2 linked regions of the Yarrowia lipolytica genome follow. The protein of the gene in region 2 purifies or fractionates together with the protein of the main gene of each other region. This does not show direct contact. Links are inferred from orthologs where the notes say so. Each region holds a gene or a part of one and is shown on either strand. Other genes may lie near its edges.

Evidence for each region.
Region 1: the proteins of YALI1_D34395g (region 2) and YALI1_E18843g purify together in Saccharomyces cerevisiae (affinity purification with mass spectrometry, with the first as the bait; 3 studies listed by BioGRID). This does not show direct contact. The link is inferred for Yarrowia lipolytica from reciprocal best matches to the Saccharomyces cerevisiae genes CDC5 and SMC1.

The regions. Positions count from the first base shown.
Region 1 is NC_090774.1:1,881,446-1,885,202, reverse strand, and holds the start of YALI1_E18843g (uncharacterized protein), read left to right. Parts: upstream 1-849; coding exon 850-3,757. UniProt on the Saccharomyces cerevisiae protein: Involved in chromosome cohesion during cell cycle and in DNA repair. Central component of cohesin complex. The cohesin complex is required for the cohesion of sister chromatids after DNA replication.
Region 2 is NC_090773.1:3,438,718-3,442,319, reverse strand, and holds YALI1_D34395g (uncharacterized protein), read right to left. Parts: upstream 2,827-3,602; coding exon 658-2,826; downstream 1-657. UniProt on the Saccharomyces cerevisiae protein: Protein kinase required for the cell cycle where it is involved in mitotic exit. A component of the fear (CDC14 early anaphase release) network which promotes CDC14 release from the nucleolus during early anaphase. Phosphorylates SCC1/MCD1 and NET1.

The sequences.
Region 1 (3,757 bases), on a different chromosome or scaffold from region 2:
TCCTCTTTACTGCCATATTCTGAGCCTCTGCTCCTTCTTTTCCTTCAATTTCTGTACTGGTCCAACCATTTCGAGGTCCATGGTAGCGTCGTCTAGACTACCCCCTAAACAGTATCATACATGCGCATCTTTTATTGTTTACGCGTTCGCATCAAAAACTTTAGGCAGGCTACTGGACGAGCGATGCATACAGTATTTGGAAGATTGAGACTTGAATACGTCTGAAAAAAACACAAAAAGATACGATATTTCCCCTCGAGCTTGGAGATAACTGATTTTCCTGTCCCAATTCCAATCGGTATTCGCCATCACCCCGCATTGAGTTGTTTTCAACTGAAGATCAGTGGTATAGGCTTGTAGTAATAGTCTTGTCCAGACAGTATCGATCCACAGCAGCTCGACCGGAGCAACCAGTTTTGACGACAACAACAGTCGTTATCATTGATGTTCTACAGATAGTACCAGTCCGTTGAGGTTTGGTTTGATAGCTTCTGAATCGTGTGGAGCTGAATTCGCGTGGAGCTCTGAATTATCGTGCGTGTGGTTCGCAATGTCTATAACGAGAAACCAGCAAGTACTTGTACTTGAGTTATATTTTTGTTTTCTTCGTAATTTACAAAGTATTTCTTTTTTTTTCTTTTATTTTTTTTTTTTCTTTTATTTTTTTTATTTCTTTTATTTCTTTTATTTCTTTTATTTCTTTATTTTCTTTTATTTCTTTTACTGTATTTTTATTCCAAAATAAAGTTTAGATGGACGCGAGTGAAATGTAAATTGTCATTCTACCACCAACACGCGTACACTTCAACACAACATCACCACACACCATCACAACACCATCACAACACTATGGGCACCCTCAAGGCTATTGAGCTGTGCAACTTCAAGTCGTACCGTGATACGCACCGTGTGGATCTCGGTGACTCGTCGTTCTCGGCCATCATCGGCCCCAACGGTTCGGGTAAGTCCAACATGATGGACGCCATCTCGTTTGTGCTCGGAGTGCGGTCTTCGCAGCTCCGATCCACCCAGCTCAAGGACCTCATCTACCGAGGCCGAATCATGCGTGGCGAGGAAGTCAGCTCGACCCAGTCTCAGGAAGCCACGTCGGCATACGTTCTGGTGGAGTACGAAAAGTCAAATGGAGACCTACTCAAGCTCAAGCGAACCATCACACCCTCGGGCACGTCTGAGTACCGAATCAACAACAAGGTCACGTCGTCAGGCGAATACAATGCCACCATGAAGAAGGAAAACATTCTGGTCAAGGCCCGAAATTTCCTGGTCTTCCAGGGAGATGTGGAGCAGATTGCCAGTCAGTCGCCTCAAGACTTGTCCAAGCTGATTGAAATCACCTCTGGCTCCATCGATCTCAAGCCCGAATACGACCGTCTCAAGGAGGAGCTAGATGTCCAGACTGAGCGAAGCAACGCAGCCTGGCAGCGACGACGTACCTACAACGCTGAGAAGAAGCACTACGTTGAGCTCAAGGACCGTTACGACGCGTACACCGCCAAGGCCGCAGAGCGAGACGAGGCCGTTGTGAAGCAGCAGCTGTGGAGACTGTGGCAGGCCCAAAAAATCGAAGATGAGGCCCGAGACCAGATTGAAGGTGGAGACGCTGCTATCCAGAACGCCGAGGGGGCTGTTCAGGAGGCTGCTCAGGAGGTGGAAAACGTGGCTGCCAAATATGCCAGCGACAAGAAGCGGCTGCTCAAGCAGGAGCGTTCGGCAAAGAAGCGAGCAGACGTCATTCTGGAGCACAAGCAGCAGCTCGTGCCTGTGGCTGAACGTATTGCTGTGGTGTCCGGCAACATTTCGCGTCACGAGGCTCGGTACGGCACTGTCGAGGCTGACTTACTTCGACACCAGGACGAAGTCAAGCAGACTCGAGGCTCTCTCAAGATGGTTCAGGATGCCTCCAGTGAGTTTGAACGAGATCTGTCATCGAAGCAGAAGGAGTCAGGCGGAGTTATTCGAACTGATGAGGACGCGGCCGAGTATAGCACGCTGAAAAATGAGGTGCACAAGCGGTCGCTGGCTGAGCAGGCTGAGATTGAGACGGTGAAGCGAAAACTCAGACCTGTTCTGGACCATAAGCGAGCTCTGGAGCAGGCACAGGAGGACTCGGAACTCAAGGTCAAGGAGTTTAAAAGCGAGTTTGGCGTCTACCAGACCCAACTGAAGGAAGCTGAGGAGGTACTCAAGACCCACCAGTCTGCTCTGAGAACTCAGAGTGAGTCTCTGGCTCGGGTTGTGGACGAACAGACTACCCGACGACGTGTCGAGCTGGAGCTTGGCGACAAGCTGGGTGTTGTGGCTAACCGTCTGATTGAGCTAAATGCGGTCAAGCGACAGACTGAGCGAGAACGACGACTTAAAGAGACTGTTGCCAACCTGAAGCATGTTTTCTCGGCACAGAAGGTCCACGGTCTCGTCTACGACCTGTGCAAGCCCAAGGAGAAGCGACACGATCTTGCTGTGGAGACCATTCTCGGTAAGGACATTGATTCCATTGTTGTGGACAGTTTCAAAACTGCACAGGACTGTATTGCATACCTCAAGGAGCAGCAGGGCGGTCTTGCCTCGTTCATTCCCCTCGATACTATCAAGGCCATGCCTGTCAACTCGTCGTTGCGGTCGCGTCTTCGTGGGGCTGTACTTGCCATTGATGCCATTTCCTTTTCGTCTCAGTACGAACGGGCTTTCCAGTACGTTTGTGGCTCGGCCATTGTGTGTGACGACCTTAAGGAGGCTAAACGCCTTGGATGGAGCCTGAATGTCAAGGCTGTGACCACCGATGGCTCCGTGATTCACAAGGCTGGTCTTATGACTGGTGGTACTACCCAGAAGGGCCACCATGGCGGCAAGCGAGCATCCAAATGGGACGAGTCTGAGGTTACAAAGCTCCAGGCAGAGAAGGATGCTCTGGTTTTGGAGCTACAGACTGTTGGTCGGCAAAAGTTTGACCCCGAGCGTCAGGATACACTGCAGCGTGAGGTTGACAAGGTGCGACAGGAAGTGTCTGCTGCCCAGAAGCATGTTGCCAGCCTGAAGGACCGTCTCAAGGATATCAATTCGCAGCTCAAGTACTACAGCGAGGAGGCTGCCAAGAGCAAGAAGCAGATTGCCAGCACCGCCAGTGATCTCGAAAAGCTCGAGACACAGAAGGCCACCATTCAACAACGCCTTGACGAAGTCTGGTACACCGTGTTCTCGTCTTATTGCACTCGTGTCGGCGTGACTGTTGAGGACGTGTTTGCATATGAACAGACCCATGGCTCTCTCTCCGCTGGTGCCGAGCGAAAGCGGCTCGCATTCTCTCAGCAGATTGCTACTCTCGAGTCACAGCTCAAGTTTGGCTCCAAGCGTGTGGACGAGTGCAAGGGGCGACTGGCCAAGATTCGACAGTCTATCGATGATGACAAGGCAGCTGTGGATGGCTGGGAGGCCGATGAGGCCCAGCTGAGAGAGGACATTGGTATTCTGGAAGAAAAGGCTCGAGCTGAGGCAAAGCAGGTTCAGAAGCTCACAGCTGCCGTTCAGAACGCGTCAACTGAGTCCAACGCTGCCAAGGAGCATCTTTCCCGAGCTCAGGGCGTGGTCGATAACCTGCGACGAAAGCTTGCCCAGTCTGAGACCGAGCTTGAGACTGCTGCTACTCAGCGGTACGAGGTTCTGCGAGAGTGCAAGATTGAGGGCATTGAGCTTCCTCTGGTGTCAGGTGATCTCGAGTCTGTGCCTCTGGTTGAGGGAG
Region 2 (3,602 bases):
TGTGGACTTGTAGCTGTCACTTTCATGAAAAGCAACAACAATGATACCAGCAACAACACTCCTCTAACAGTCATGTTTATATCTAAGGCATGTATTTAAAGTGCTCTTAACAACCCCACACTGGATTTATTCTCATAGATCCTCTCAGGCTCTCGCAATAAGACAAATCAAAAATGGTCACGTGGTCTTCATATCACGTTCTATTGACCCAATAAGGTTTTGTTTTAACCTTCCGATATAGTGTAGGGGCTATCACATCACGCTCTCATTCTGAGAACCGTGGAGACCGGGGTTCGATTCCCCGTATCGAGTCTTTGGTTTCCGGCCATATCCCTGGTGAAAATACGGCTTCCCGTCCGATTAAGCCATAGTCAAGCACCAGAAAAGCCTAGTTAGGTATTGTAAGTGGAAGAACCATACGAGAATCCTGGGTGCTGTAATCTTTTTTTTTCGAACCAAATGATTATTCCGTTTTAGCATTTCCTTGTTTTAGCCTCCTCATTATTCGCCACATGAATGAGACAGATTCCACTTTTTTCAGACGAAAACTTCGATATAGACACCCTACTTTCTCCCCACAAATATTATGGTATCATGCATTATTAAGTTAGCTAATTTAATGACACAACAATTGTTGCGCGGAGTCTCTGAGCCTCTCTAGTTAAGGAGACCCTCAAAGTACTGGTACACACGCACCAACTTTTCCTGAAGATTCCAGTGTCCCTCTCCTGCGTGCATGCAGGCCTCGTCCAGCGTCCAGTGGTGGAACATCTTGTCGTCGTCGATGAACATCATGGATTGACCACAGTGGCTAATGACCATCTTGCAGTGATCCTCAAAGTTAAACTGGAACGAGTCGTTGGACAGGTGAAAGACCACGAATCCGGCCGACCGCTGCCAGCTCAGTACCCACACCATGTCCAGGCCAATCTCCTTCTCGTCCTCCACCATACACAGATGGTCGTTCATGAATTTGTGGAACTGCTTGACGAGCTTGATTCGGTGCTTGTGCTCGGCAGGATATTGTGTGCTCGTGAAGGTGTCAATAGACCAGTTGCTCTTGGGATTGCTTCGGGTGGCCACGTCCTTTGCCTCCTGCTCCATCACCACCTGGAACAGATGCTCCTCGTACCGCATGTCCATAAGAATGGTTTTTTCCTGCTCCATGAGAACGCCGACGACGTTGGACGACAGCTGGTAGGCAAATCCAAACTTGTTGGAGTAGTCCACCCACTTGGAAATGAAGATGGTCTTCTCGTCTGCCCGGCCACTGGAGTTGTGGTGTGAGGGTCCACTTCGGAGTTGCCTGTCCAGTGCCTCATGAAAGATTTTGAAGAGCTGATTCTGGGGTTTGAGGCTCATAGACTGAGGCACGTTCTCCATGACTCGCCGGTCGGCTTCAATCGCCTGGGGACCCTGGGGATCGGGTTTGACGTCAACCATCTTGTACTTCTCCTTGGTGGAAGCCGGAGACAGAGACTGGGGGAGAATCTTGGCTGGCTGGTCGGCCTCAACGTCCTGACGCTCAATTGTGACGGGAGGAGATGTCGATCGGGGTGCCAGGTGTCTGCTATCGAGTCTGGCGGCAATCTTGATGGCCTCAAAATTCTTGTGTGACTGAGTGTAGCTGACTCGGGTTTCAGGTTGTCTCAGCTTAGCAGCCTGAGGATGAATGGAGGCGGGGAAGTCAGTGAAGAAGAATGGGTGCTTGAGAATGTTGGCCAGGTTGATACGCTGGTGAGGATCTCCAACTAGCATCTGTCGAACAAGATCCTTGCATTCGCTGCTGATAGGAAGATCGGCGGGAAACTTCCAGTCGTTCTTCTTGATTCGCTGGTAGATGGTCTCCACGTCCTTGGACTGGAATGGAGGCTTACCTGTGACCATGGTGAATAGAATGACACCAGCAGACCAAATGTCGACCTCAAACGAATGGCCCTTATGCTTGCCAGCAAGAACCTCGGGAGCAATGTAGTTGGGGGTGCCACAGATGGTGACCCGTCGGTCGGTGGGCTTGTCCAGAACCGTAGCAAGTCCAAAGTCTCCAATCTTGACATGCATGTGCTCGTCGAGGAAGATATTGCCGAGCTTGAGGTCTCTGTGGATGACTCGTCGTCTGTGCATAAAGTTGATAGCGCCGAGAATCTGCACCATGTAGTACTTTGCCTCGCCCTCGGTAAATCCCTTTCGGGCCCGCAGCATCTCCATCATGCTCTGGTTGGAGCACATTTCCAGAAGAATGTACACATTGTGGTCGTCTTCAAAGCAGTCGACGAACTCGACAATGTTGGGGTGCTTTAGCGACTTGTGGATCTTGATTTCCGCCAGCAGCTTGTTTTTCGTCTTTTCGTTGCGCACGCTCTCCTTGGCCACCGTCTTGGCAGCGTAGGTCTTGCCAGCATCATTCTTCACCTGGAAACATCTAGCGAAACCACCCTCGCCCAGACACGAGCCCCGGGCGAAGTGGTCGCCGGTTCGACTCTTGATGAGAGAAGGAGGAGTCTTGCACAAGCTGGAAAGCTTTTCCTTTTTCCGGGGAGTCTTGTGAGTAGCGGCTGTGGGAGCTCTGGAGGAGGCTGTAGGGGCAATGGCGGCAGCGGCGGCAGCAGCATGGGCACTGCTCACGGCGGGCTTGCTGCTGGGATTGTAGTAGTTGCCCTTGCCGGTGTAGTACGGGGTTGTTGGTTGTGGCTGGTTCTCCGAGGTGTACTTGTTGTTGTGATAGGCGTCGTTGTTCTCCTTGCCTGCCCGCAGCTTCATGGGGTTGACGACATTGTCTCGATGCTCGCTGCCCAGAGGCCTCAAGGGATCTGGTCGCTTGAACATCTTCTTTTATTTTTTTGGGTAATTGGTGACCGAGTGTCAAGATGGTGATGTAGTGTTGTGTGTTCAGTGGTAGGCCATGGCCCAGTGCTTATATTGTTCGGCTTCAGTTGGGTTATTGCCATATTGGGCATTAGGTTCGGGGGTTGTCACAGCAACATAGTATCGAAACAACAGAAGGAATGAGGTTGAAGAAGGTGAATTTGCGTCAAATTGGCGTGGAAAGGGCTTCAATGGACTGTCGTGGTTCTGGTGAGTCCATTGGCAGTGTTGTTATCTACCTTCCGGGTTTGATTCTGCCCCAAAATCAACACTTTCCAAATCATCAATTCTGTCAAAACACTCTGTAGATACACCTTAGAAGCACCCTACATACTCCCAGAGGTTCCCTGTACAGTACAAGGTGCTATGGTATCGCTTCTATCAGTTTCCCACGCACCAACATCGGGCCCTTGACACCGTCCGCCGATCAATGTTATGTTTACAGCTGTAGCCGCATACTGTACAACCCTAACCTAATCAAGAGAACCGGGTCTTTGTAAACACTGGCCGTGGGAGCTAGTATAGAGGATAATTAGGGTGGTTTTTGTGTTCACAGTGCTGGGTGTAGTGTTTTCGTTCTAGGAATTAACCGCCGGAAGCCCCTCCGGTTGTGTGAGGCGAGTTAGGGACGACTGACGATGTTTTAGATGTGAGTCTTGGGAGTACAGTGCTCACAACAAGTCAAAGTTTATTTTGTGGAGATGAATGTGGATTTTTGGGGCTGAAATGTAAACAAT